Macaca mulatta: one gene and its partners. The protein of the gene in region 3 purifies or fractionates together with the protein of the main gene of each other region. This does not show direct contact. Links are inferred from orthologs where the notes say so. Each region holds a gene or a part of one and is shown on either strand. Other genes may lie near its edges.

Evidence for each region.
Region 1: the proteins of TULP3 (region 3) and IFT140 purify together in Homo sapiens (affinity purification with mass spectrometry; 5 studies listed by BioGRID and IntAct, counting the BioPlex papers as one, with this or other methods). This does not show direct contact. The link is inferred for Macaca mulatta from reciprocal best matches to the Homo sapiens genes TULP3 and IFT140.
Region 2: the proteins of TULP3 (region 3) and WDR19 purify together in Homo sapiens (affinity purification with mass spectrometry; 5 studies listed by BioGRID and IntAct, counting the BioPlex papers as one, with this or other methods). This does not show direct contact. The link is inferred for Macaca mulatta from reciprocal best matches to the Homo sapiens genes TULP3 and WDR19.
Region 4: the proteins of TULP3 (region 3) and KBTBD7 purify together in Homo sapiens (affinity purification with mass spectrometry; 3 studies listed by BioGRID and IntAct, counting the BioPlex papers as one, with this or other methods). This does not show direct contact. The link is inferred for Macaca mulatta from reciprocal best matches to the Homo sapiens genes TULP3 and KBTBD7.
Region 5: the proteins of TULP3 (region 3) and SIRT1 purify together in Homo sapiens (affinity purification with mass spectrometry; 5 studies listed by BioGRID and IntAct, counting the BioPlex papers as one, with this or other methods). This does not show direct contact. The link is inferred for Macaca mulatta from reciprocal best matches to the Homo sapiens genes TULP3 and SIRT1.
Region 6: the proteins of TULP3 (region 3) and WDR35 purify together in Homo sapiens (affinity purification with mass spectrometry; 5 studies listed by BioGRID and IntAct, counting the BioPlex papers as one, with this or other methods). This does not show direct contact. The link is inferred for Macaca mulatta from reciprocal best matches to the Homo sapiens genes TULP3 and WDR35.

Annotation. Positions count from the first base shown.
Region 1 is NC_133425.1:2,832,508-2,837,695, forward strand, and holds the start of IFT140 (intraflagellar transport protein 140 homolog), read right to left. Parts: upstream 3,448-5,188; 5' UTR 3,393-3,447; intron 1-3,392. UniProt on the Homo sapiens protein: Component of the IFT complex A (IFT-A), a complex required for retrograde ciliary transport and entry into cilia of G protein-coupled receptors (GPCRs).
Region 2 is NC_133410.1:38,399,054-38,403,575, forward strand, and holds part of WDR19 (WD repeat-containing protein 19), read left to right. Parts: intron 1-1,174; coding exon 1,175-1,300; intron 1,301-4,522. UniProt on the Homo sapiens protein: As component of the IFT complex A (IFT-A), a complex required for retrograde ciliary transport and entry into cilia of G protein-coupled receptors (GPCRs), it is involved in cilia function and/or assembly.
Region 3 is NC_133416.1:3,832,490-3,837,011, forward strand, and holds part of TULP3 (tubby-related protein 3), read left to right. Parts: intron 1-2,578; coding exon 2,579-2,676; intron 2,677-3,387; coding exon 3,388-3,591; intron 3,592-4,522. UniProt on the Homo sapiens protein: Negative regulator of the Shh signaling transduction pathway: recruited to primary cilia via association with the IFT complex A (IFT-A) and is required for recruitment of G protein-coupled receptor GPR161 to cilia, a promoter of PKA-dependent basal repression machinery in Shh signaling.
Region 4 is NC_133422.1:20,613,776-20,618,810, forward strand, and holds the start of KBTBD7 (kelch repeat and BTB domain-containing protein 7), read right to left. Parts: upstream 3,175-5,035; 5' UTR 2,866-3,174; coding exon 808-2,865; 3' UTR 1-807. UniProt on the Homo sapiens protein: As part of the CUL3(KBTBD6/7) E3 ubiquitin ligase complex functions as a substrate adapter for the RAC1 guanine exchange factor (GEF) TIAM1, mediating its 'Lys-48' ubiquitination and proteasomal degradation.
Region 5 is NC_133414.1:81,856,275-81,860,796, forward strand, and holds part of SIRT1 (NAD-dependent protein deacetylase sirtuin-1), read right to left. Parts: intron 4,190-4,522; exon of another isoform or gene 4,098-4,189; coding exon of another isoform or gene 4,065-4,097; intron 3,573-4,064; coding exon 3,425-3,572; intron 2,341-3,424; coding exon 2,261-2,340; intron 1,110-2,260; coding exon 923-1,109; intron 1-922. UniProt on the Homo sapiens protein: NAD-dependent protein deacetylase that links transcriptional regulation directly to intracellular energetics and participates in the coordination of several separated cellular functions such as cell cycle, response to DNA damage, metabolism, apoptosis and autophagy.
Region 6 is NC_133418.1:105,122,710-105,127,886, reverse strand, and holds the end of WDR35 (WD repeat-containing protein 35), read right to left. Parts: coding exon 4,977-5,177; intron 4,643-4,976; coding exon 4,492-4,642; 3' UTR 4,478-4,491; exon of another isoform or gene 4,179-4,477; intron 2,117-4,178; 3' UTR 1,165-2,116; downstream 1-1,164. UniProt on the Homo sapiens protein: As a component of the IFT complex A (IFT-A), a complex required for retrograde ciliary transport and entry into cilia of G protein-coupled receptors (GPCRs), it is involved in ciliogenesis and ciliary protein trafficking.

The DNA of each region.
Region 1 (5,188 bases), on a different chromosome or scaffold from region 3:
AATGACTATACATGGAATGACAAAAGGGAAGCATCCCAAAGCTACCATTGGAAGACCATCGGCAACTTGAAAATGCCTTGTGGACTGAGCAGACAACCTGATGCGAGGAGATCTCCAACAGGGAGAAATGCAGACGAGAAGTAGTTAGACTCGGAATCACCCAGGCTGTGTGACAGAGACGAATACAACTCATGGCCATCAAAGAAGGAAAGAAAGAAAAGCCCTGCAGCCTAGACTACACATGCAATCCTCAGTAACTTTCATTCCAGTCACAATAAGGACAAGTTCTATTTCTGTAGTTGCCTCTTTTTTCCTTTTAGACCAAGTCTCGCTCTGTTACCCAGGCTGGAGTGCAGTGGTGAGATCACGGCTCACTGCAGCCTCAAACTCCTGGGCTCAAGTGATCCTCCCACCTCAGTCTCTCAAGTAGCTGGGACTACAGACATGCACTACCATGGCCAGCTAGTTTTTAAATAATTTGTGTAGACACAGAGTTTTACTATGTTGCCCAGGTTGGTCTTGAACTCCTGAGCTCAGGTAATCCTCCTGCCTTGGCCTCTTAAAGTGCTGGGATTATAGCTGTGAGTCACCGCTGCCTTTTAAACAACATTTTCAAACAAAATAAAAGCAAACTGCTCCAGAAGAGAGTACTGGTACAGAAAAAAACCAGTACTTAATTTCCAGTAAAGCATAAAATCAGACTGTCCGCTACCTCTGACTCACAGGTGGTAGAAGACAGAAGGCTTCCTCCATTAGAGAGTCAAGAACGCACAGCTGCAGCAGCTGTGAGAAGTTGAGCTTGATCAGTTACGTGAACTTAGTGAACTAATCGCTCTCATTCTTCCTCTCAGATCTGGAAAAGATATACATATTGTCCCTTTTCAGGAAGGTTAGGGTGATACATGAAGTGACAGTCTGGTTACTCTCACTTTTTTACACCTCAGTCAATTTGGAGAAGTTAACTGGCAGAGAAGAGCATATTTGTAGACATGTTTGCCACCATTTAAAATTATTCAGGATGGGTGCGGTGGCTCATGCCTGTAATCCTAGCAATTTGGGAGGCCGAGGCAGGCAGATTGTGTGAGCTCAGGAGTTCAAGACCAGCCTGAGCAAAATGGAGAACGTGCACCACCGCCCCCGCCGCCGTCTACTAAAAATACAAAAAATTAGCCAGTTGTGGTGGTGCACGCCTGTAATCCCAGCTACTCTGGAGTCTGAGACAGAAGAATCGCTAGAACCTGGGAGGCAGAGATTGCAGTGAGCTGAGATCACCCCACTGCACTCCAGCCTGGCAACAGAACAAGACTCTGTCTCAAAAAATAAATTAAAAAAAAAAAAAAGAAACCCAAACAACAAACAAACACACATACAGATCAAAACCTGGGCAATTTAAAACAGCGAAAGAAACCTTTAAATTAAAAAATATGTATTTTGTTTAGAGACAGGGCTCCCAGGCTGGAGAGCAGTGGTGTGATCATGGCTCACTGTAGCCTTGAACTCCTGGGCTCAAGTGATCCTCCTGCCTCAGTCTCCCAAGTAGCTGGAACTGCCTCTTAAAATGAGTTTTGGCCGGGCGCGGTGACTCACACCTGTAATGCCAGCACTTTGGGAGGCTGAGGTGGGTGGATCACGAGGTCAGAAGATCGAGACCATCCTGGACAACATGGTGAAACCTCGTCTCTACTAAAAAATACAAAAATTAGCTGGGTGTGGTGGTGCCTGCCTATAATCCCACCTACTCAGGAGGCTGAGGCACAAGAATCGCTTGAATCCAGGAGGCAGAGGTTGCAGTGAGCCAAGATCTCACCACTGCACTCCAGCCTGGGCAACAGAGCGAAACTCTGTTTTGGAAAAAAAAAAAAAAGAGTTTTAACATGTTGCAGCCAGCCAAGGTTACAAATCCTGGGGTATGGGAAATTAGTATCTAACAAGTTTACTCTGTGAAAATATTTCTCTGAAAAATGAGTGATACGTTAGTACAACACTTTGTACTAACTATGAAGGCAAATGGTCCTAATTACTTTCTTTCCTGCCTGGGGTTTTTCAAGGTTCCCGCCCGGCTTTGGGTAAGGGAGTTCTCAGGGCTTGATGGCTTTGCCTTTGTCCTGTGCTTCTTGCCCAGTGTCCCCACACAACGCTGGGCTTCTCCGTGGCTGCACTTAGACTTTACTGTAAATGTGAGTTTCGTTGCTCACACACTGCCCCCCATATTATCTTTCCCAGAGAGCCGGAGGCACCCAGTATTCCCAGCTTCTTAGAACAGTGCCTTGCACAGAACAGGCCCTGCGCGGATGAAGCTGCGTATTAGCAAGGAGAGAGATTCTTCCTGTTGTGTTATTAATATAACAAACGGGTTGCAGGCCTGACTGAATGAGTTCCATTTTTACACAATGCATTAATATAATTCTTCATAGTTCCTTTCACCTGCATTTTAACAAGTTCCCAAAATGAGTATTATCAGTATAATTTATAAAAGTTGACACAAGGAGGAGAGATGGCTACCAATAAAATAGTTACGTACTTGATGACAATCTGCAATAGCGTTAGCTCGGAAACGAGTACCCTTCCTTTCCTTGAAACAAAGTCCCAGTCTCCGGAACATACAACTGGGAGATGTATCAACTTTGGGGAACCAGAGAAAAACTGTATTTATTCTAACTGATGTACTCCTCTCACTTTTAGGCGTCCAGCGTCTCCAGAGCCTCTACAAGTGCCTCCATTAAACTAGCTTTTGGAAAGAATCTGTTAAGCCCATTCAGCTAAGCGGCACGGGGTCACAGGGCTTTGAGTAGCCTTCCTCCTCTGTGACGCCGAATAGGGAACCCCTGGACGGGGCTCCACGGTGGACTCTCAGGGGCAGGCACCCGGGACCACCCTACAAAGCCTCGCTCTCCAGGCCACAATGCAGAGCCTCCGGTCTGCGCAGGGTCCTCGTTGCATACCAGCGGACGGTATCGAGAAGCCATGCGCTGGCGGTTTGATGCAACGCGACCCTCAGAGCCGACCCGGCGTGTGACCAAGCATAGAATGTTTTTTTTTTTGCTCCTCTCGTTAGTCCCGCTTCATCTGGGGTGTGTGATGGCGCCGCCCACCTCCCCACCCCGCCCATTCCAAAGGGACTCTCCCAGCGACCGGAATCAGCCGCGATTCGAGGCCGTGCGGGGGCGACAGCCATCATCCTACGGGCGACCTGGACCCCGCGCCAAGCCCGCCCCAGCCTCGATGGGACCCTCGAAGGGACTCGCGAGGGGCCGCGGGGACTCGGCGGCGACGGGATCGTGGGAGGAGACAGGAGGGTCCCGACGCCCGCCACCGGTCAGATCCTCGGCCCCAAACCCCTGCCTGGCTCCTAAGGACCTGGGTCGGCCGCCCTAGCCCTTAAGGCCACTCACCTCCGCCAGGCCGCTGAGCCGCCGCGCGTTGCCGGGACAACGGCGCGCCAGGAACGCGGAAATAGCCGAAGGTGAGCGAGGCGGCCCCGAGGACGCCCGAAGCGCCCCGAGCGGCCGGAAAGAGCCGAAGGCGATCGGGCACGCACGTGCGGCTCCGAGGTCTGAGCGCCGGGGGCCGGGTTATTCCGTTCTGCAAGAGAGAAGCCGGACGAGCTTTTTTTAGGAGAGACGGCGGCGCAGGGCCGGCGTCCGGGTCCCCTTCGTATTGAGGGCGCGCTGTCACAGCCCCAATCGACCGCGGCATCCTCCCCTCCTGGGCGTGTTCCCCTCCCGTGCATCCCGAGGCGGGGCCTTTCCAGCGCCGGGCGGTCTCAGCCCAGGCCTTCGCTGGGCTCCGCTTTTCTAGTCTGGGAGTGGAGGGCGTGGGTCAGGCGTTTCTGGGAAAGTCGATGCGCTCGGCAGTGTCCTGAGCTGTTGGGTGACTGAGGGCCTGTGTCCATTGCCGGGCCCCGGACTCCACAGAACGGAGCAAGGCAGGGAGCGCCCCCCAGAAAGCAGCTGGCGGCCGGGCGCGGGGCTCGCGCCTGGGCTTCCAGCGCTTGGGAGGCCGGGGCGGGCGGATCGTTGGAGCCCAGGAGTTCGAGACCAGCCTGGGCAACATGGCGAGATTCCGTCTCTAAAAAACTACAAAAATTAGCCTGGTGCGGTGGCGCCTGTAGTCTCAGCTACAGGAGGCTGAGGGAGAAGGATCGCCTGAGCCCCGGGAGGCGGAGCTTGCAGTGAGCCGAGATCGCGCCACTGCACTCCAGCCTGGGCGACAGAGCGAGACTCCGTCTCAAAAAAAGAAAAAGAAAAAAAAACACTAGAATTTGAAAAACACCCCTCTGCTTTGTTGCTATGAAGAAAATGACCAAGTGCCCAGCACCGCTCGGCCACGCTAACGTAGCGCAGAAGCACACACCCCACTCAGGAAAGGGTGCGCGAAACTGCCTCGGACGCGCTTCCACACTTCTCCTCAGAACTCAGGTTCGCGCCCGATTCCACACTCCGAGTTACCACGGCGTTTTCTTCTCATGTATCCGTCAACACGGCTGCGGCCAATCACGGCACGGGCCCTGGCCTATTGGCTGCTTGTCCACCAATCCGAAGAGACGCACAGTCCGCAAGGTCGCGAGACTGGCGTCACAACAGTACTCGCGCCGTGGGCTCGCCCCCTACGCCCACCGGGCGAGCGCGCCCGCCCAGACCTAGCCAATGGGGGCGCCGTTTTGCGGAGACGCGCCCTAAGAAACCTTGGGCGTGCTCGCCCCCGCGCTCGTCGCCTCGCCCCGCGCGCCCGCGCGCCCCGGCCCCGCCCCCGCGCGCCGTCCGTGCGGCCCCCACCGGCCGCCGTAGCCGGAACTGCTGCTGAGCGCGGCGGGCCGGCTTTACTAGGCTGAGCTGCGGCAGTATCGGCGCCCGCAGCCCCCTCAACTGCGCGCCGGCCCGCGGAAGGGACGTGCCGGGGCTAGCGCCGCTCGGCCAGTCGCTCCCAAGGCGGACGACCAGCCAGGCGTCGCCGCCTCACTGCAGCCGGTGCTCGGGGGCCGCGGCTGCCCGGCCCGGCTGGTTCTGCGGGCACCCGGGGAGGCCCCGGGAAGCCAGGCTGCCGCCCGGCGTTGATGAAAAAGGTGACCAAAGCTGGGCGCTGGGGCTGTCATGGCGAGGCCGGGCCAGGGGGTCCTGTGGGGCGGCGCGGGAGAGCGCGGGGGAGGCGTCGCTCCCACAGCGCGCGGTACAGCCAGAACCGGCCTCGG
Region 2 (4,522 bases), on a different chromosome or scaffold from region 3:
CTGTAATCCCAGTACTTTAGGAGACTGAGGCAGAGGATCACTTAAGCTCTGGAATTTGAGGTTATCGTGAACTATAATCACTTGAGCCCAGGAGTGCGAGGTTATAGCCAAGTATAATCGCACCACTGCACTCCAGCCTGGGCAACAGAGCCAGACCTTGTCTCAAAAAAAAAAAAAAAAGGGAAAATAATATTTCTTATTCACCACTTTAGAATCAATCTTTCCCTTTTTTACAATCCTATATCTACCCAATCACTCAATTTAGCTATAATTTTGCTTCTTTTCTTTTTTTGAAACAGGGTCTCACTGTATCTCCCAAGCTGGAGTGCAGTGGCACAAACATGGCTCACTGCAGCCTTGACCTCCCGGGCCCAAGTAATCCTCCCACTTCAGCCTCCTGAGTAGCTGAGTAGCATGTGCATGCCACCATGCCCAGCCCCCCTTTTTTTTTCTTTTTTTTGGTAGAGATGGGATCTTGCCATGGTACTCAGGCTGCAGTTCAGTGGCACGATCTTGGTCCACTGCAACCTCTGCCTCCTGGGTTCAAGTGATTCTCCTGCCTCAGCCTCCCAAGTAGCTGGGATTACAGGCATGCACCACCATGCCCAGCTAATTTTTGTATTTTTTAATAGAGATGGGGTTTCTCCATGTTGGTCAGGCTGGTCTCGAACTCCTGACCTCAGATGATCCGCCTGCCTCAGCCTCCCAAAGTGCTGGGATTACAAGCATGAGCCACTGTGCCCAGCCACTTTGTTTCTTATGAATACCTTCTTTTCCTCTCTGTCAATCTAAAATGATCTTTTAAAAGTTGATCATACAAATTATGTCTCGATTCCAGATGTGATTCATTTGTAAAAGTGCTTGATGAGTTTGTTTTATCAAAAGGCAGGGTTCTTTATAGGATTTAAGAAAATCTGCTAACTTAAGTATGATTATATTTAATGTAGTATATGAAAATGCTATTAAAAGTAAAATTTTTAATTTTACCATCCCCTCAACCACAGCAAAAAATTGAAGTTAATATCACCCATGCAGTGAATAGTGAGTTGTATTTCTCACTTTAGAGAGTTTATTATCTGTTCAAAATAGATTGAATAATCTTGTTATAGACAAAAATCACAGTGATTTTACTTTTAAAAAATGTATAGTGATATTTTGCTCTCTTTTTAAAAAGTAACTGTGTTGCCATGGATTGGGATAAAGATGGAGATGTCCTAGCAGTGATTGCTGAGAAATCTAGCTGCATTTATCTTTGGGATGCCAACACAAATAAGACTAGCCAGTTAGATAATGGCATGAGGTAAGATAACTTTTTTATTTTTTAAAGCTTCACTTAGAAACATGAATATTTGTAGGTTTGGTGCTAACAATTCTTTTCTACTTTCATTTTAAGATTCCTCAATGAGTTATTTTCTTAGAAAATGATTATTTTATTATTGTTACCCAATTAGAATGAAATTGTTATAACTGTGAAATATAAAGAGCTTCTTAAAAAGTTGCTTTCAGTGGAACAGACTAAGAAGTGCAGAGATGAGACAAAATATATATGGGAAAATCCAGAGATGGGCTTGACCATAGGCATGGCTGGATCTAGGAGTTATAATGGTGCAATCAAGACTTTTTCTCCACCTCTCAGCTCCTCTTTTCTCTATATTGACTTCATTCTAAATCAGATTCTCATCCACGACTACTGGTAGCTACCAGTGTGTATCATTCTTCACAGCAAGCCATGCCAGAGAAAAGAGCATGTGCCTTGACATCACCAGAGCCCATTCAGTTCCTCAAAAGGTCTCTGAATGGAGTAGGCAGGGCCATGGATTGGTACTCCCACCAAGTGAAAGGAAGGGTGAAGGGCAGGGCAGTTCCCAAATGGAAAAACACCTTGGGCAGACAGAATAAATGACAGATATCTGCTAAAATAGAAACCAGTTTCCGATATGGACAAGAAAAACTTGTCAGCATTTCCAGCTAAAACTTTGCCATTTTGACCTTGGACAAGTTGCTTAACCCCTCTCCAAGCCTCAGTTTCTTCATCTCTATGACATGGGTATAGCATGTTTCATGGCTTCATGTACCCCTCAGGTGGGGAGGAAGAGATCATATACATGCTATTAGACCAGACTATAAGTTTTCAAGTTATTTACTAAGGAATAACTGAACCCAGAGGAAGCAAGGCAGTCATGTAGAGCAGCATCAGCTATAACCTAGGGAGTGCAGTGCCATTGACCCTCCAGAGTGACTGTTGAGGCAAGTAGCTGCAGAAGATACTGTCTACCAATGTAAAGTCTTTCTGAGTCTAAGAACCTTCAGTTCTTGCTCTGTCCTCTTACACTCTGGGTTTACATCACTTTTCAGAAAGATTTTATATACAGTCTCTGTGCTTCCATTCAAGGGAGTGTTTAATAAACTTCAAGTACTGGTTCTTGAGCCAAATTCAGCAACAGTAAGGCCATGTTCTCACTCAGAGAAAAGTGCATAATTAATCCCCTGGTGTTTCTAACTGGTCTATCTCTGCCTTCAGCTCTCTATCTTCCCAGAGTGTCTGTTTCTCCACTTCATCTTAGGATTGTTGTGATGTTTAAATGTATGTCATGGCAAGGCATAAAATTAAGACCCAAGTAAATGGTAGATGTTATCGTAATTGTCATTAAAATAAAATTAAGGTTGCTTTACTGTTGATGTTTATAATTAAAGTCTAAAGAACTTTTGTATATACAAAAGCATACCCACTATTGTTTGTTCTCTATTCAAAGGCCAATCTGTTATACTAGCTAGTTATTAAACAAAACTTTGAATATCAATTTTTCTTAAGTATTTTTATTTAAGAAGGTCCTGTTGTACATGGCCACCTTGCATCCTCTAGGTTCAGTTATTCCTTAGTAGATAAAAGCTTTTAATCAATTTAGGTTCCGTTTATAAAATTTATCTGAAGTGAATCTTTTGAGCACTTCAGACACCTTAAATAGTACCCAAAACCTATCCAAATGTAATTATCACAAAACTTACTGTGGTGCCACTTAACTAAAAATATTACATTAATTCAATGAGCTGAATTCATTTATTTTTGCTATATAGGCTTTTATACTCTTTTAGGATTATAGCAGTATTTACTCTGCTCCTGCCTAGACCTAACAGAAGTAGTCATTTAATTATGTGACTGGGATATAGCCATTTCTTTCCACAGAAAACCCTATATGTAACATCTGCTTCATCAACCAATTCATTCTTAGATGGATCACAGAACATGGTTGCTTCTCCCAAGGCAATTTGGACCTGAGTACTAGGTATCCTACTCAGTGTCTTTTTAAATTGACCTTCAGTTGTCATGTTAGTAAAATTCTTTTAAGCCCATGCCTTATACATAGGTTGCAATTTTTTGTAACCTGTACATTTCCCTAGGATGATATATTCTTTAAATTTTGCTTGGCCAGAGATACATGTGATTGTTATATGTTGTCCTGATCCAATGGCATTATTGGAAATTTACATATGCTTTAGTATCATATTGTAATTTGCAAGACTTTCTACAGACCTTATCTCCTAAGAGGGATGGAGTCTGTTCAGTTAGCTCTTCTTTTGAGGACATTTGATTACTTGATCTTCTTAGAACACATTATTTAACACTTTCTTTCTAGTTGGTTGTTGTGTAACTGTCAGTGCTGATAAACTATTGAATAGACTAATGTTATATTTATCTTATTATATATGATCACTTTTGCTGATCAGATCTTGTTCTTGTTATACAGTTCTTTTCTCTGATACTGTTTTTAGCTCATGCAGAATTATTTTTATTCATATTTTCTTTGAAGGAGTCTCTCTAAGACAGGATTAAATGTGTAAGAGATTTCTTACAGGAAATGCCTGTGAGGGAACTTAGAGAGGTTAGGAGAAGAGATTGGAAGAACTGTCAGACCTCAGTGCGTGTCTGACCCTTATAAATGAGAGAGGGAAAGAAGTAAGGTTGGGAAGAAGCATCTTAAATTGTAGCACAGTTTTGGTTTTTTGGGTTTTTTTTTGTTTTGGATCGGAGTCTCCCTCTGTCACCCAGGCTGGAGTACAGTGGCACGATCTCGGCTCACTGCAACCTCCACCTCCTGGGTCAAAGCAATTCTCCTGCCTCAGCCTCCCAAGTAGCTGGGACTATAGGTGCCCATGACCATGCCCAGCTAATTTTTGTATTTTTAGTAGAGATGGGGTTTCACCATGTTGGCCAGGCTGGTCTCAAACTCCTGACCTCGGATGATCTGCCCACCTCAGCCTCCCAAAGTGCTGGGATTACATGCGTGAGCCGCCGTGCCCAGCCCATTAAATTGTAGTAGAGTTCTAATTAAGAAAGTTCAGCTAGGTCTGTGGGGAGTCTTTGGGCAAAAGTTACCTGTCAAAGGAGTTCTGCCCGGGAATGGGCCCAGCAGTTATCCCTCCCTCACTCAGTCATTGTCTGGGAGCAGCCCATGAGAAAGCACAGCCCAGTTCATTGAGGTGATGGATTCCAAAGCCTAGCAGTTGGGGCTTGTGGCCAGTT
Region 3 (4,522 bases):
AAGTGGCTGTGTTCTTTCTCAGAACTGGCCTTTCAGTGCCAGATGAATTAATGCCTTTTCATGTCTCAACAGGTTGCATCTTGACTATAAAACCCATTAAGTGCTGTTTTGATTGAATTCTAAGAAGTGTCAGTTTGGCAGATTGTGTCCGTATAAGTGGCTCCAATTTGCTTGTCTTGAAAGTTTCAGAGAGATCTTTGATCTCTCAAGACAGATTCATGTGAACTGAGTTCTTGGTATAAAAATGGCATTTGAAAACATAGTAATAGGTGAAGATATCCATACGATAGTGGTATCTCAGGAGTTTTCTGCCTTTTTGCTACCAATAAAAAGGGGGGGTACCAGGTGTCGTGGCTCATGCCTGTAATCTCAGCACTTTGGGAAGCTGAGGTGGGCGGATTGCTTGAGCCCAAGAGTTTGAGATCAGTCTGGGCAACTTGGTGAAACCCCATCTCTACAGAAAATTACCTGGATATGGTGTAGTCCCAGGTACTCAGGAGGCTGAGGTGGGAGGATCACGTGAGCCCAGGAAGTTGAGGCTGCAGTGAGTGGCTGTGATTTGGCCACTGCACTCCCACCTGGGCAGCAGAGTGAAACCCTGTCTCGAAAAATAATAATAATAAGTTAATATTTTAGAGAGAAGAAGGAAAAAATGTCCTTTGCAAAGCAAATAATTTTTTAAGTAACAGCTCTTTTGAGATATAAATTACAGACCATACACCTCTTCCATTTCAAGTACACAATAGGCCAGGCACGGTGGCTCACGCCTGTAATCCCAGCACTTTGGGAGGCAGAGGCAGGCAGATCACCTGACGTCAGGAGTTCGAGACCAGCCTGGCCAACATGGTGAAACCCCGTCTCCACTAAAAATACAAAAAAAATTAGCCGGGTGTGGTGGTGGGCACCTGTAATTCCAGCTACTTGGGAGGCTGAGGCTGAGGTTGGGAGTTCAAGGCCAGCCTGACCAACATGGAGAAACCCCGTCTCTACTAAAAATACAAAATTAGCCAGATGTGGTGGTGGGCGCCTGTAGTCCCAGCTACTCAAGAGGCTGAGGCAGGAAAATCGCTTGAACCCGGGAGGCCGAGGTTGCGGTGAGCCGAGATTGCGCCCAGCCTGGGCAACGAGAGCAAAACTCCATCTCAGAAAAAAATATAAAAGAAAATGCTGGGGGGAATAAAACTGCTGTAGAGAACAATGCATCATTGGATTTTTTTTTAATTGTGGTAAAACATGCATTGTAACATAAAAGTTACCAGTGTTAGCCTGGCATGGTGGCTTGCACCTATTATCCCAACACTTTGGGAGGCCGAGGCGGGCAGATCACCTGAGGTCAGTTTGACCAGTCTGGCCAACATGGTGAAACCCCGTCTCTACTAAAAATACAAAAAAATTAGCTGGGCTTGGTGGCGCACACCTGTAATCCCAGCTACCGGGGAGGCTGAGACAAGAGAATCGCTTGAACCCGAGGGATGGAGGTTGCAGTGAGCCGAGATCGTGCCACTGCACTCCAGCCTGAGCGACAGAGCGAGACTCCATCTTAATAATAATAATAATAATTTATTAGTGCTACAGCTCTTTTTAGAATGTCTAGCAAGTTTTCCTGTTTTTACTGAAGCCTTCCCTTCCCTTCCAAATAACAAAAAGTACACTTTTTTTTTTAAAAGAGTTCAGGTGTCATTCTGTTGCCTAGGCGGGGGTGCATAGCTCACTTTAGCCTCAAAATCCTGGGCTTAAGTGATCCACCCACCTCAGCTAGCTAGGATTACAGACACACAGGTACCATCATGCCTGGCTAATTTTTTTAAAAAAAACTTTTTATAGAGACAGATCTCAAACTCGTGGCCTCAAGCAATCCTTCTGCCTCAGCCTCCCAAAGTGCTAGGAGTACAGCCATGAGCCACTGTGCCCTGCCTAAATTTTCTTTTTTTTTTTTTTTTTTTTGAGACAGTCTCACTCTGTTGCCCAGGCTGGAGTGCAGTGGCGCAATCTCGCCCCCTGCAAGCTCTGCCTCCCAGTTTCAAGCGATTCTCCTGCCTCAGCCTCCCGAGTAGCTGGGACTACAGGTGCCCACCACCATGCCCGGCTAATTTTTTGTATTTTTAGTAGAGACGGAGCTTCACCATGTTAGCTGGATGGTCTCAATCTCCTGACCTCGTCATCTGCCCGCCTCGGCCTCCCAAAGTGCTGGGATTACAGGTGTGAGCCACCGTACCCAGCCTGCCCTGACTAAAATTTATAAGTTTAATCATTTTAAAGTGTGAGATTCAGTGACATTAAGTACATTAGCAATGTTATGCAACCACTACTACCATCTTCAGAACTTTTTCATCTTCCCAGAGACTTCACACCCATTCAAGATAATTCCTCATTCTCCCCTGCCCCCAGCCCCTAGTAACCTCTATTCTACTTTCTGTCTCTATGAATTTGCCTGTTTTATGTATTTGGACAAAATAGTTGTGTTTAGGGTCACAATAGTTAGGAAGGTTTTAAGAAAAAAAAATTAAAACTATCTTTGTTTCAAAGACCTTTTTTAAACCAGTGTTGGCAGTGCTAACAGTTCTTCCTTTTCTGCTAGATATCTCTGAAAGTGTGAACTTCGATGAGGAGACTGATGGAAGATCCCAGTCAGCATGTTTAGAAAGCCCAAATTCTGCATCCAGCCAGAATTCAACTGTATGTAGTTCTGAAACTTCTTCCGTTAGAGCTAACTTGACTCTTTCTCAAACATATCTTCAGTATGTGTGTGTGTGTATGTATGTATGTATTTATTTATTTATTTATTTATTTTTGAGACAGAGTCTTACTCTGTCACCCAGGCTGGAAGTGCTGTGGCATGATCTCGGCTCACTGCAAGCTCTGCCTCCCGGGTTCACGCCATTCTCCTGCCTCAGCCTCCTGAGTAGCTGGGACTACAGGCGCCGCCACCACGCCCGGCTAATTTTTTGTATTTTTAGTAGAGACAGGTTTCACCGTGTTAGCCAGGATGGTCTCAATCTCCTGAGCTTGTGATCCACCCGCCTCGGCCTCCCAAAGTGCTGGGATTACAGGTGTGAGCCACTGTCCCAGCCCTCAAACATATCTTCAGTATTTAAATACCATTAGTGAATGAGGGTTCCTTCAGAAGTTTAAGCTCAAATTTAGCTTATGATCTAATTTTTTCTATCTCAGGTCAGCTATTGTGAGGCTTTGTCCCATTTGCATACTTAGCTCTTCATTACTCTTAATATTCATATCCTTATTTAACTTTTCAGTTTTCCTTATTCTGTCAGAAGACTGAAGACACAGGGGTAAATTACTAAGTTGCTTTGTCCACTAAGTGCTTCTCAAAGAGAATCAGATTTTGAGTCCTGGCCTCTTGTTGCTCATGTATGGCTGTCCTTTCAGGATACAGGCACTTCCTGTTCTGCTACTGCAGCCCAACCAGCTGATAACCTCCTGGGAGACATAGACGACCTGGAGGACTTTGTGTATAGTCCTGCCCCTCAAGGTGTCACAGTAAGATGTCGGATAATCCGGGATAAAAAGGGAATGGATCGGGGCCTCTTCCCCACCTACTATATGTACTTGGAGAAAGAAGAAAATCAGAAGGTATGAGAATTGATTTCTAAGAAAACTCTTGAGAGAGAGAAGAATGTTGTGGGAATAGATTGTTGATGGGCCTTAGGGAACTAACTCTGGTATTAGACCAAGCCAGCTAGAAGTAGATTGTATCTTTCAGTCCCCAGATGCTGTGTTCTCATTTTCTGCAAAGAGCTCATGGTCTAATAGGCAGCAAGCTCTACCCTCCCACAAATAAGAGCTTGATCCACAATGTGGGAAAATGGGCAGGTATTTCTTAATGTAATTTTACAGGTATTTTGTAATGTAAGTTTTCACCTGTCTCCCATGATTTAGTTTTTAGATGCTACTGTTCTTTTTTTTTTTTTTTTTTTAATGATAAAACATGACATTGTGGAAGGAGAGCGAGTTTTGGGGAATAGGATGAATTAGAAATACGAAGGACATACAAGTTAAATGTCTTGTTTCTCACCCTAGAAATTCTAATTTATTTTATAAGTTTGAGCCAATTTAATATGTGCCGATGAACCTTATTAATTTTGTATTAATACCAGGTCTTAACAGATGCTTTTAAGAGCCTAGAAATGAGATAATGATAGTAGGTATTAATTGTTCTAACCACCATTTATTGAGTGTTTACAACAGACCAACCATGTGCATATATGTTTATATGTATTATCACCTGTAATCATTGTAGCCACCTTGTTAGGTAGGATTTCTCATCTCTGTTTTAAAGATGAGGTAACTAACTGGGGCTTAGGGAGTGACTTACCTACCCCAAATTGCACTAAGTGATGGCAGAGCCAAATTCAAACCTGTTTCTGCATAATTCTAAAGTCTTCCTGCTTAGCCACTGCCACTCTCCTGCTTCCCTGTTACGGTCCTGGTCTAGTAGAGTTTAGGAAGGATGCCTGCATAGGATGGTATTCATGCCATTGAAGTCACAGTGGTTTAAAACAAC
Region 4 (5,035 bases), on a different chromosome or scaffold from region 3:
TTTGGTTTAGAAGGGTGTTTAATTCATGACATTACTAGAATGGGTGTTTTTTGGGAAAGAAAATTGGTCACATATACCAAATACACATTTTATATTCCAAAATAAAAACAGATTTATTTTAAAACAGTGGAATCCTTATTTTTATTTACTTATTTTTTACTTTCTGTGAGCTTGTGAGGCCATTCTGCACATTTATCAAAATGAAATCATTATTCAGTAACCTTTTTATATATATATATATATATATATATGCAATTTTTTTTCCTTTGTAGAAAACCAAAATAATTTTACAAACTATATTTAACTTAGAATATAAAGAACTGACTAGTGTAAAATTTTGAAAATCTACCACTTTATTTTGAAGGAAAGTATACATCCTTCAAAACTCCACCAACAATTCCTAGTCCAGTTTTCTATTGTACAGATTAAAAAGTTAAATTCCTTGTGGCACTAACCAAAACTTAAAAATTAACAGAAGACTGAATTAATTAAAAAAAAAAAAGCATACTAACTAATCAAAACAATCCACTGTGCAATGAATATTTGAACAATGAAAAAAACCTACCAAGCATCCCAGTCAATTACATAGTTCTTGCTTCCATATTTTAATTTTGGACTTTCAGGAAGGTATATTATTAAACAGGTCGATTTTGTGGACTGTTTAAACCTTGTAGTATTTCAAAATATTACCCTTTCTAAACCAAATCTGTGGTCCTGGTCAACTTTTTTTTTTTCAAGAAAAAGAAAGGATATGTGTTTAAAATACATTCCGTAGCAGTAGAAACATCTTAGTGTCTCAAAATCTATTTACAAAGAACCCTGCTGATCCTGTGCATTTCGCTGAGGTGCTACTTGCACCCAGACTTCATCATCTGAAAAAGAACTTGAACTTCCTGACTCAGAGTCCAGCTCACTGAATCCATCTAAGTCCCATTCAGTACTAGACTCACTCCGTGCATCATCTTCCTCAGTAATAAAACTCTGACCAGGTTCAAGGCAGGAAGGATAAACACGGGCACAAAGGCAAATAAAGCCAGAGTCAAACTGCAAAAGGCCTAACATAGTACCTATATTAATCCACTGATCTTCCCTAGTATCATACTCATACACTGTTACTCGGTTCTTTTTCCATTGTGGGGTTGTAGAAGTGATGAGAAGCAACTTTCGGTCATGATTGACAATCTGGTAGTTGTGGGTCTCTGAATCCAAAGGAATATTACTAATCCGCCTCCATTCTCCCCTAGCTGGGTTGTAGACCTTCATGACTGGGATGTCACAGATACAATAGATTTCATCATTGAAAACACATGCTTCCTGAAAGTCACTGCGTTTAAGAGAAGCACAGTTCAGCCACATATTGTGGCTAGGATCATAGCAGAGCATGCGCTTACTGTTGACAGCATAAAGATAGTTCTGAACCACTATGAGTTCAAAGGAATAGAAGGAATGAGGGACAGGAGCCACCAATGCCCACTGGTTTCTCTGAACACTGTAGCATTCCACTTCCTTCAACTTAACTCCAGTAATAGGGTCTCGCCCCCCCAAAATGTAGATGTAGCCATTGAGATATGCCACATCCATGCCCTCACGACACAGCAAGCGATCTGCAAGTTGCTGCCAACTATTCTGAGCTGGTTTATACACCCAGAGGTCTTTCCTTGGCTGGGCAGCTAGATAGATGTCATGGTCTGGGGAGACACAGACAGCTGAGGAGGTAACAGTCTTAGTGTGAGCAAAGCTGGTCAAAGGTGATGGCATTGTGTAAATGTCCCCTGAGTAAGGGTCATAGCAGAGAAAGGGATCTCTGGGGTGTCCAAAGAAGATCACCATCTCCTTGGCACACATACCCAGTCTCTGGGGTGGATTTTCTGCTGCAGATACAAGAGAGTTGCTGCTGCTACTGCTGCTGCTGCTGCTGTTTGGCACTGGCACCAGAGACTTGTACAACAGGTCACCATAGCGCATCTGCAGGGCCCCTTCAATAACGTCCAGGCAGTACTTCTTCACAATGGGCTTGGTCAGCAGCCCTTCTAAGTAGTCCTGATCTTCTTCAGTGAAGTGCATCCAGCGCACGCACTTGAAGACTTCCGCAGCACTGGGACCCCGCTCCTTGGGAGCAGCCTCCAGCCACTGCACAGCTACATGGCATACAGTCCGCTCACTCTCTATGTCCAGACTATCCAAGCGCAGGACAGCCAGCAGCTGGGCCAGGGTCAGATCTGCTAGAGTCTCTTCCCGAATTGAACCCATTCGGCTGAGCTGCTTGAAGTTCTGAGCTATATAGGACTGGGCCTGAGATCGAAGCTTGTGATGGTCGAAGGCGTCTGCAAACTTGAGGATGGCGGTGCAGTTGGTCAGGTCAAGACGTCGGGCTAAGAAGGAGGCACAGGCTTCCCGCACATACTCCAGTTGCAGCATGTCGGAGGCTGCGTACAGGCGCTGCACATTGGCCTCGCTGAGAGACACACGACCCGTGTAGCAGTAGTCGACCAACACCTCGAAGGACTCGGCGTCCACATCGTGCATGGTCACGCTGGCCTGCTGGCTCTCGTACATGCCACCTGTGAACATGCTCTTGAAGTAGGGACACGCAGCTGCTAGCACGTTGCGATTGCAGGAAAAGAGGCGACCCGTGCCAGGCCCGCTGCCAGGCGTCACCACCTCGATGGTCACATCACACAGCAGCCGCGCGTCGTAGAAAGACTTGAGCTGTGCCAGCAGGGCTGCAGAATGGGCCGTGTCCTTTAATTCCTCTGGACCCGTGAAAAAGGCCGAAACCGAGGGCTTGGAAATCCTCTTGGGCCGCCTCCCACCGCGGGGGCTGGCGAGGCGGCGAGAGCGCGGGGCGTCTTCCCGGGACTGCATGGTGGAGATGGCGACGGGCGCTGATAGCGAGAAAGGCTGCCGGACCCGGCTCTGGCTCCTCCTCAACCTTCCCTCGCAGACGCTAAGACAAGCCGCGTCCTGGAACAGACTGCGGCACGGGCCGCACTTCTGAATTCAGCCCTAGCCCGCGGTGAGGCCTCCCTTTATTGCGTAGACAGTGGCTGACTCACCCTCTCTCACTCCCGCGCCCTTTCTCCGCCTCCGCTCGCCCTCACAGGACCCGCTGGCTTGGAGCCGCGGAAGGCCCCACTGCCGCGCTGGCGATCCCGCTAGGCGCCCAGGAGAACTACCGCTTCCAGGTTGCCTTTCGCGCCCCGAGGCCTGCTGGGGCTCTCGGACGGCCGGGCGGGGACAGAGGGAAAGAAACCGCTTTGCATGTTGGGAGTAGTAGTTTGTGTAATATCGCGAGCTTTCCTTTCGCTGACTGCCCTAACAGTAGAAATTAATTCTGGATATGATGGTGAAGTGACGATGTCTCACTATTGTTGTCCAGGCTGGTCTTGAACTCCTGAGGGCTCAAATTATCCTCCTGCCTCTGCCTCTCAAAGTGCTGGGATTACAGGCGTGAGCCACCGGGCCCTGCCAGTATTTCATAGGGTTTTGTGTGATTGAATGATACGTTACATAGGATACTTAGATACATATATTTTTTTGGTTAGAAGAACAATAAAGCGTTACCCCGTGCCTAGAATGTAGCCAATAATTGTTAGATTCTCTTTTATAATTTATGATAAATGAGGCACCCACTAATTTGAAACCAAAAAATTTTTAAAATTTTAAAAATTATTTTAAACCGCAAAATTTTACAAAGAACTTAGTTTTTAATTTTTATTCTTTTGAAAGATTTTGAAGGGCATTAACTATTTTCAATGTTAAATGGTACGTATTGGCCTTGTTTAATAAGGATGTCTTAGACGACTAGGTTGAGGTCCTAAAGAACGGTGTTAATAGATGGCCTCAAATATGCAAATCGGGCATATAAAAATAGATTATTTGCTACTCTCACTAACATTTCATCTCTGGGGAGCAGGAATATTTTCATTAAGCTCCAAATATGAGTGTTTTCAAGTCGTCTAATACAGCCTCTTTCACTGCCATTCCACATATCAATTAACAGATTCTGTAATTGCCTTTATTAAGGAGTTTTAGGGAGTATTTAACTCAAAATATTTCAAGAAACAGACTTTGTTCTGTACAAAAGCACGTGATTCTCAGAATTCAGCATTAGTACATGCCCTGACATTCCTTGAATTAACATACAGTATAGCCTATGCTTTACAAAAGTCTTTTATATTTGCATTGATCAACAGTTAAATCATCAAAATCAAGTATTAGAGATTTGAGGCAGGAAAATAGGGTCTGGAGGCAGGGAACATAAGGCCGATTCACACTTTAGCTATAACAAGAAATATCCTCTCCATAGGGTGTATGCCGAGTAAATGAGTTTGTAACTTTAATTCATTCTCTTCGTTTACATAGGGTATACACCAAGTAACCAGTGAATCCTCTAGAGGGTATTTAAACCTCCAGGAATTCTGTAACAGGGCCCTTGAGCCCTGTGCTGGGCCTGCGCCCACACTGGAGTGTACTTTCATTTTCAGTACATCTCTGATTTTGTTGTTTCATTCTTTCCTTGCTTTGTTTATGTGTTTCTTCCAATTCTTTGTCCAAAACGCCAAGAACCTGGACACCCTCCACTGGTAACAGATTGACTTTTTCAGATAACTTTTATTACAAAACCAGTGACTGCTCCTGCTGCTAGTTTATATTACCATAACCCAATAAAGAAAATCATCAGTATTATATGCATGTATGGATAACACATTACAAGAGAAAAACTTTCAAATTGTTTTTCTGTTATCAGCTGAAGTCCACTGGAAATCCTCTAGGGTAGACACATTAAATTAAGTCAGCCTCTGGGCTCCAATATCTCCTCTGTAAATAAAAAGAGATGTTAGACATCCCTCAGATACACCAGAGGGAATTAAGTCAGTCATTATTAGTAACAATGATTGTTTTCTCACTTGCAGTGAACAACCAGCTAGGGAAAAAAGCCTTTTTTCTTTTCTTTTCTTTTCTTTTTTTTTTTTTTTTGAGATGGGGTCTCACCCTGTCACCCAGGTTGGAGTGCAGTGGCACCATAATAGCT
Region 5 (4,522 bases), on a different chromosome or scaffold from region 3:
CTCTGTCGCCCTGGCTGGAGTGCAGTGGCACAATCTCGGCTCATTGCAACCTCTGCCTCCTGGGTTCAAGCGGTTCTCACACCTCAGCCTCCCACGTAGCTGGAACTACATGCGCACACCACCACGCCCAACTGATTTTTGTATTTTTAGCAGAGACAGGGTTTCACCATGTTGGCCAGGCTGGTCTCAAACTGCTGCCCTCAAGGGATCCACACACCTCGGCCTCCCAAAGTGCTGAGATTACAGGCATGAGTCACTAACGTTACTTGTGTTTTGACAACCCTCCACACCCCATCAAAATGTCAGATTCACCAGTCTCAATGAACAACAATGCCACATAAAAAATAGTTGAGCCAGATGTGGAGGCTTGTGCCTGTAATCCTAGCTACTCAAGGGGCTGAGGCAGGAGGATCCTTGAGCCCAGGAGTTCAAATCCAGCCTGGGCAACACAACAGGACCTCATCTCTACTATAAATAAACAATTTCTGGCCGGGCATGGTGGCTCATGCCTGTAATCCCAGCACTTTGGGACGCCAAGACGGGTGGATCACCTGAGCTCAGGAGTTCGAGACCAGCCTGGCCAACATGGCGAAACCCGGTCTCTACTAAAAATATAAAAAGTTAGCCAGGCATGTTGGTGGACAACTGTAATCCCAGCTACTCAGGAGGCTGAGGCAGGAGGATCGCTTGAACCCAGGAGGCGGAGGTTGCAGTGAGCTGAGATCACGCCACCGCACGCCAGCCTGGGCAATAAGAGGGAAACTCCATCTCAATAAATAAACAAACAATTTCGAAAATTAGCTCTTCACCACTCTTTCAAACAGAAGCAGAGTAAGATTACTAGAGTTAGGGTCTATTATACAGATCCACAACCCATGACATTATATATAGAAATGATCTCCAAAAGCCATCACCAACTTACTTGGAATTAGTGCTACCGGTCTTACTTTGAGGGAAGACCCAATAACAATGAGGAGGTCAACTTCATCTTTGTCATACTTCATGGCTCTATGAAACTGTTCTGGTAAATTTTCACCAAAAAACACAATCTCTGGTTTCATGATAGCAAGCGGTTCATCAGCTGGGCACCTAGGACATCGAGGAACTACCTACGAATTTTCAGATTTTGGTTGAGACAGAGAAGCAAACAGTAAGCTCAAGTTAGAAATAGTCAACATTTCCATACCTCTAAGAATACATTTCAGAATTATTTAAAAAAAAAAAAAAAAAAAAAAAAACAGAAAAGCTATAGATAAACAGCAACTGGGTAACAATCTAAACGTCAATGATGGGTAGTTTATTAACATACTATGAAACAGTGAAATACTATGCTCTTGTTATAATATCTATATAGAAAAACACTTGACATTGAAGAGTCCATCATATAAGAGGAAAAACACAATGTGTGTATATACACAAAATGGGAATTGATCCTTTAAAAGAAAAATACACATTTGTAAAACAAAATGACTCCATTGTATTTATTTGAGATGGAGTCTCATTCTGTTGCCCAGGCTGGAGTGCAGTGGCATGATCTCAACTCACTACAACCTCCACCTCCTGAGTTCAAATGATTCTCCTGCCTCAGCCTCCCAAGTAGCTGAGATTAAAGGCATATGCCACCATGCCAGGCTAATTTTCGTATTTTTAGGAGAGACGGGGTTTTGCCATGTTGGCCAGGCTGGTCTTGAACTTCTGACCTCAAATGATCCACCCACCTCAGCCTCCCAAAGTGCTGGGATTACAAGCATGAGCCACTGCACCCGAACAATGATTCCATTTTAATATACTATTCTTCCTCTTTCATAATAATATAATTAACTCTATATATTGCTAAGCACACAGGACATATTTCTGGATAATTTTTATTTTCTGCTACATTTTCCTATATTTTTTGGCAATGAACATGTATGAAATAATTTTAAAAGATTACCACAACTAATTTAAGGTTCAAATCTGACAGGCACAAAAAGAGGAAGGAGAAAAACTACAACAACAACAACTTGCTTATGATCTGATGTTTTAGGTTCGGCTTAGATACTAAGAAGCCAATTTCATAATTTTAACAGACTTTATAGGGCTGTTTTCTATATAAGGTATTGAAAGGTTCTTGTATATTTTACCAAAATTCCCAATTACTATTTTCTTCCTGAATATTTCTGTATCACGTATACCTTTAAGGGTAAAAAAAGGATTTTGAGGCAAAAGAAGAAATACTTCAGAGACATGCACAATTCCTAAAATACGGGAAACAAATTACCTGATTAAAAATATCTCCTCGTACAGCTTCACAGTCAACTTTGTATTTACAAATCAGGCAAGATGCTGTTGCAAAGGAACCTAAAAACAACCAACATATATGTGCTTTATTAATGAAGTATTTCTGTTTCTTGAACACACCACGAATGTTATAAAGTTTGACATCAGAAATGTTAACAGGGTTTAAAGATTTTTAACTTTGATTTTAAACCTCAGAACACACTGCAGATTTTGTGATACACTACAGGAGAATCTAGGGGATGAATAATTTATATATTTATTTATACATAGAATGAACACAATTCTCAATCGCTGAGACAATAATGATGCCTTCTAAAGCTACTCTTTTGAACAAAACTGTAATAACTCGCTCCTGCAGAGCTAAAATCCTGCAGAGTTGAACAGTTCCAATTCTATTACCTTAGTTCAGCAGTTCTTAGAAACACTTTAGATACCTAATGGCGTGTTCATACTTGTTTTACATTAAACATTTCTGAATCTCTGAATTCTGTACATCTCAACTATCCAGTTCTTTTAGTTTCATAAACTAAAGATGTCACATTTCTTCATTAATAGCTAACATTACTCTTGTAATCAGTTTTTTTTTTTTTTTTTGGACAGAGTCTCACTCTCTGTCTCCCAGGCTGGAGCGCAATGGTGCAATCTTGGCTCACTGCAACCTCCAACTCCCAAGTTCAAGTGATTCTCATGCCTCAGCCTCCTAAGTGGCTGGGATAACAGGTACGCCACCATGCCCGGCTAATTTTTGTATTTTTAGTAGAGCCAGGGTTTCACCATGTTGGCCAGGCTGTTCTTCGAACTCCTGGCCTCATGTGATCCGCCCGCTTCAGCTTCCCAAAGTGCTAGGATTACAGGCGTGAGTCACCACACCCAGCCAGAAAAGATTATTTAAAATAACTGAATGCATGCAACTGCAGCATCTTTTGAAATCAAAAGCAAATTAATATTTGAGGTTTTATGTAATTAACTGTTTTTATTATTTTTGTTTTCTACTTTTCTACTTTTCGGAGGTTATCTATAATTAACGAGATAACATGATTAAATAATGCTTTATCTCCACTTCTCAATGGCAGTCTGCTTTAGAGGAAAAATCCTCCTATAAAACTAAAATAAATTACAGAAAACCATTCTGAAGTTTACTAACCATGACACTGAATTATCCTCTGGATTCCCGCAACCTGTTCCAGCGTGTCTATGTTCTGGGTATAGTTGCGAAGTAGTTTTCCTTCCTTATCTGACAAGGCTATGAATTTGTGACAGAGAGATGGTTGGAATTGTCCAGGATATATTTCCTATATCAAGTAAAAGGTAGAAAAAATTTACATTAGTGAAATAAACTACAGATGTCATATGTTTAACAAAAAACTACCGATAATCCCCCACATATAATTTTAAAAATGAAATAGATGAGCATTTTAAAGTATCTAGATGGATGCAACACACACCTACAAAAGGACTGTTGCTGTCATGTATAAAACTCAGCAATTAGTGAACTTGGCCCCTTGAAGAAAAAGACAAAGTCAGCCCATAAACATCTCTAATAAATGTTGATATTTTAATAAAAGTCAGAAGTAACACAACCTTAGGATATCTAATTTTTGTTGGCTGCAAATTCAGATTTTTTTCTTTAAAGAAAAATGGGAAACTTTAAAATTACAGGTATCAAGGTAGGGTGATTTTTAAAAAAGCACTGTCAATACAAGAATATTTTAAAATTTTTTTGATTTATCATTCATTAGAATATCAACCTGTTGGAAGTTTAAAGCTAAAGTTTTAATCCTTACCAAAATTGTTTTCCTTCCACTGCACAGGCACATACTGGTATAGTATAGAGTTGCTCATGAATGCTGAGTTGCTGGATTTTGTGTGTGTGTTTTTCCCCCCAAATAATGCTTCAATGCTGTTTCTTCTTTAAAAACAAAGAATTCAGATATACACATGGCAAAAAGATCAGAGAAAAAGTATCAATTTTGGTCCTCCCAACTTTTGACAGTGTTTTTATTAAATTTCATTTAGTAAGTGACTATGGCAAAGGAAGTTTCTTCTCTACTTTTTCCTTTAAAGTAGTAGTGCTATCATCTACTTACTTCCTTACCATTCATTACAGGCTCTAATCTATCATAATGCTAGCAAAAAACTAGACACAACCGTATGCCCATCAGTAGGGAACCGGTTGTATAAATATGGTACGTCCATAATAGTGGAATATGTAGCCATTAAAAAGAATGAGGGCGATCTAGAT
Region 6 (5,177 bases), on a different chromosome or scaffold from region 3:
TAAAAAATAGGGAAAAATCAAGTGGCAAGTGTGTTTTCTATAAGAGATCATCACAACATTGCATTGAAGTCATTATTACTGTATTTCTATTAATTGATTTTGTTGCATCCACTGCAGTTTCTGCTTTATAAAGGTGGTTGCTATGAGCATAGATATTAGGTGTTATGTCTACAGATACTCTTAGATGTTACATTGTTATTGTGAATAGCAGTTTTTAGCATTATCAAGTATTCTTGCTTGTAGTACTTAACTCACCACATCAACAAATTGAAGAAAAATCTCAACAGATGTAGAAAATTCAGTTAATAAAATTCAACTCCCTAGCAAACTAGGACAAGAAGACATACTTGTTAAAACCTACCGACAAAATGTCTACAGAAAATATAATAAGCAATGATTTCTTAAAATATTGAAAAATTTCCTTTGAGATTAAGAATAAGACAAGGATGCCCAGTATCATCACTTTAATTATTCAGCATTGTTTTGGGTATCCTAGCCAATGCAATAAGATGATAAAAAGAAATAACAGATATGACAATTGAGAAGTATTTTTTTAAAAAAAAGCAGTCATTAAGCACGGTTATATGGTTGTATATGTAAAAAAGAAGTGCAAAGGACTGAGAGTGACAAAACATTTTTGAAGAAGAAAAACAAAGTAGGACTTGTACCAGATAGCAGGACCTATTTTAAAAACTATAATAACTGAGACATTCTGCTTTGGGCCAAAGAAAGACAAACAGATCAATGGAACAGAAAAAGAAACCAGAAATTGGTACCTGCATATATGGACTTGTTTTTTTGTTTTGTTTTGTTTTTGGGTTTTTTTTTTTTTTTTCATATAATTGCACATCAGTGTGGAAAGGGTGGACTTCAATCAGCTGGAGGTATAATTTAATTTTTTTTAACTTTAGAGAAATATCTTAGGAGCTGGTAGCTCTCATTATAAAGACATAATACAGCAATTTATTCAGTCTCTTGGGGTTTTTTCCCCCTTGTTTGGTAGCAAAAGTGGTACTGTATATCTATTGTACCTCCTGCTCCCTCTTCCCCTTCTCCACTCTGGAGCCCAATACCCTCCTAACCAACCCCCATCAGCATACTTAAATCAAGACAAAGCAAACACCATGTTCTCCATAAGTTATAAAGAAAACGTGGAATAAACACAAGTTATTTTTTCTTCAATGTTTATTATTTTCGCATTTTTTCACTTAATACTACATAAAATCTAAGATCTCAGCTCTTGGAATACAGAAAAATAATTTCAAAGTGTACTTTAGCAAAATAATTTATAATGAAATTAGCATTTGTGAATTAAGCATGTCAACATTACTGTGTTGCTTGTTAGGCACACTGCTTATTTGTACAGCTTCATCAGTCAGTTCCATCATTTCAATACTTTGGCCCACCACACCACTTTGAAACATGTAATTAAGGGCAAGTTTTATAATAAAAAAACAACTTGGCATTACTCAAAGGGAGTCAGTACATGTTTTTTGCAAGGAGAACAACATAACTGTTTAATGATGCTGTCTTCAGTATACTACCTAATTCTGTTTATGCAACTTCTCACCGGGTAATTGTTTTTTATGGTCAATTTTGCTTTTCTTTGTCCCCCTAGTCAAGGGAGAGTTTGTTAGTGTTGTTATCTTGAAATTGCCTTCATGTCGAATAAAACCAACTAGATCAATTCATAATACAGGTTTTTTCTCTAGTACTATTTACATACAAGACAAAGGTCCCCAAGACATTATGGCAGATCATTAAAACTTTAACAGATATAGATACCAAAGAGGCATAAGCTTTTACAAAAGTAAAAAAGATGTGTCTGTCCATATACATACGCACACACACACACACATATACATATATGATAATTAGGTCCACAAGGTATGAGAGGTTGTTTTAAAAGATACTGGTTTCTGGATCCAACTGAATTAGAAATATCAACTACATATTGTTTAAATATCAACTAGATCCAGCAACTCAGAATCTACCTGGAGTAATTCATTGGTGGGAAAATTCTAGAGCTCAGGCAGCACAGAATTAGGGGGAAATGAGAAGGCTCCAAAAGAGAGTTTCCAAAGTTAGGTGAAGTCTGAGGAGTCAACAGGTGATCCTAGAATTAAAGCAAATGAAAGTGTAACCAACAAATCACAGTAAGGGGCCAGAGGCATGACAATCAAATGAATTCTCAGCTGATTCCTGAGATAGGAAAGGGAAGGAAGAAATACTCAAGCATTCAACCATGGACCAAGAATTGCAGCTCTGACCAAACTGTCCTGCAGGAACCTTTCAGACAGGCAAAGCTAGTAAGTGTGCCATCCCTACAACCCTGAACATTTCTCTTTCCTTGATGAAGCAGAGAACAGTCTCATCCCTAAAAATAGAAGTCCTGTGGAAAGATGTAAGTTCAACAGGAGATGTATTGTCTTAGACTTCTTTGTTAGAATGTGATTTTCTGATTTGGGGAAATTTTCCATTCTGGTATAGAAGAAAACAAATGAGAAAGCTGAAATTCATTGTGTTAAATTTAGATAAGTAAGTTAGTAACTTAGGAGACATATTAGACAAAAGTTAATAGAGCATGTATGTGTGACCACAGATAGAAAGGAGAAAGAGATATCAAATATTCATGAAGCATTCAAAATATGAAAAGCCACAAAGATATCAAATATTCATGACACACTAAGTATGCATGAGACATATAAAGCCCTCAATATGTGTGAGAAGTTGATTCAGTTACCCACTGGTGACACTCATTCTGGCCTGTCCTTACCCAAGAAATACAATAAAATTCATGGCTGCTCAGCAGACTAATAGGCAAGCTATTACTGTGGTAAAAGTGTACTGGCCCCTGAGACCCTTCTAGAGAACAAGTGTACGTCGTTGGCCTCAGGCACATTTCATCTGATTGAGTTGTCTGGCTCAAACGGCCACTCTGGTCCTCCTTGTAACCCCACTATTAGGGGAAAGCTTATGTGACAGAGTGTGAGTCAGGACATAAAAACATTACATAACCTATGATTCAGGTGTTGTGGTCTTTCCACCTCACTGGCACGCTACACTAACAGTGTTAATCTATCATTGCTTTCTCCTTGTTCCTCACTGTGTATTGCAAATTGGTTTAATAAACCAATGTATTTTGAGAATTTTTATTTGGTTTGTAAGGCTTTCTGTTCCTTGACCTCTGGGATAGCTTGCTAGGTAATGTATTTAGAGGCTACCATTGTACAAAGGTAATTTTCCACAAGGTACATGAAGAGAGACAGAGACCTCAAAGACTTCTGGTCTCCTCTTTTTATGTAGGCCTATGAGCCCACTATCTATCCTAAGCTCATCTAGGCTCTAAATCTCTTCTCATAGCTCACTATTCCCAATCTGCAACATGCTGAACTTGCCTTGGTCTCTACAAGACAAAAACATCAGATTGAGAAAGTGTATTGTAGCTGCAATAACAAAGTTGCGTATCTCTATGTATTGCCTCTACTAAAGGTAAGCCAAACCTCAATAAAATAATCTTGATGAAATAGTGCAAAGTTCTGTCTTTAGCCACAAAATGGGAATTCATGAGAAATAAACAGAGAACATTATTTGCTATATAAAAGACATAAGAAATGGTCCATTACAGATCACAACTGTTTATCTTCTAAATTAATAATCCATGAAAACAGATGCATATCAAGAAAGAATCACTCCCTCAACAATACTTGTGTAAATAAAGGGTCCAGCTTAGTGACAATGTTTCAATAGAAGCTATAACTACAAAATGGATATTTTTGTTTGTTATTTTCATTATAAATAGAGCCAAGTTTTCTGCACAATCATATGAAAGTGTAAATTCCAAATGCCATCTCTTGAATGAAACTAAAAGGACAGGTTTTAAAATAGAGGAATAGGGCTATTAGAAACAATTTATTGTTTCTAATGTCTTATTTAAGACATTGTAAAAAATGTCTTAAAATGCCATCGCCTCACTTCTGAATATATAATAAAGAAGACATTCAACGCTTATTTAATTAACTATGGCTACAGAGAAAGCTCATTTCGCTATTACAATTGTTTAACTTCCTTGTAACATGGGTTATAAAAATTCTCTAAATTCAACTTTGCCCCACTCCCATGCCTCCCCTGCTCCCCACTCCCTTCAAGATTTTTTAATGAATTCAGTTACCTTGACATTGTGAGAAAAATATTTATTTGGAATATTCCCATGGTATCATGTAACCAAATACAAGATAGACAAAAGAGAGAGGCAGACAGAAAATATGGTTGATTTTCATACATTTATATGAAAATCAGCCTTATTATTTCACAGTTGTATTGCTTTAAAAAATTATTTTATTAACATGTATTTTGTGCAAAAATTCAACTATAAATAATGAGGCTTATTTTCATACAAAACTCATAGAAATAAACCTTATTACACATACAGCATATAGCCATGTATATATGTTACCTATATTTTACAGTTACATACAGTTTATCATTCCTTTAAGCCACTGGACTATGGCATAAGGGGCAGAAGCTGTAGTGGCTTATTTCCTGGGCAAGGACACCATGCTTGCATACACTGCACATCCAGAATTGATACTCAGTGATCGGGCTTCCTGTGGCAACGCATGTTGGCAGTTTCCCTTCTCCACTGTAAAACAAGGGGAGAAACAATTCATTATACTTTAAAACTTCTCATTAGTCTAACTTAATTTATTTAATACACTTAAAAAAACCTAAAGAATAAAAATTCCAAGATTAATGTCAAATACTTTCATTTAAAAAAGTTTTTTCAAGAAAAAACCTTTCTTACAATGAAAAAATAAAAGCATGAATACACTTGTAAGAATAAATAAAATAGGGTATAATGTTAATGTGAATTGCTTCAAAATTTAGTGCTTTACTTCCTACATTAAACATTGCACATCTAGAAATCCAAGCTTCTAATAAGGTAGAATGACATCCACTAATTAAAATTAGCCTACCCTTCCATAAGGCTGTCCAATTCAGGTTTTCTGTTATCTTTTGAAGTATGTTTGGTGAATATTTCTAAAGCGAGGTCTTCATACTGCTGTTTCTGTTCTGAACTGAGGGTCTCTAAAGATTTAAGTTTAATGAAAGCTTTTGAACAAGTCCCAAAGGCTCTGCTGGCACATGCGCAGAGTGCTAGCAGAGAGTAGATCTCC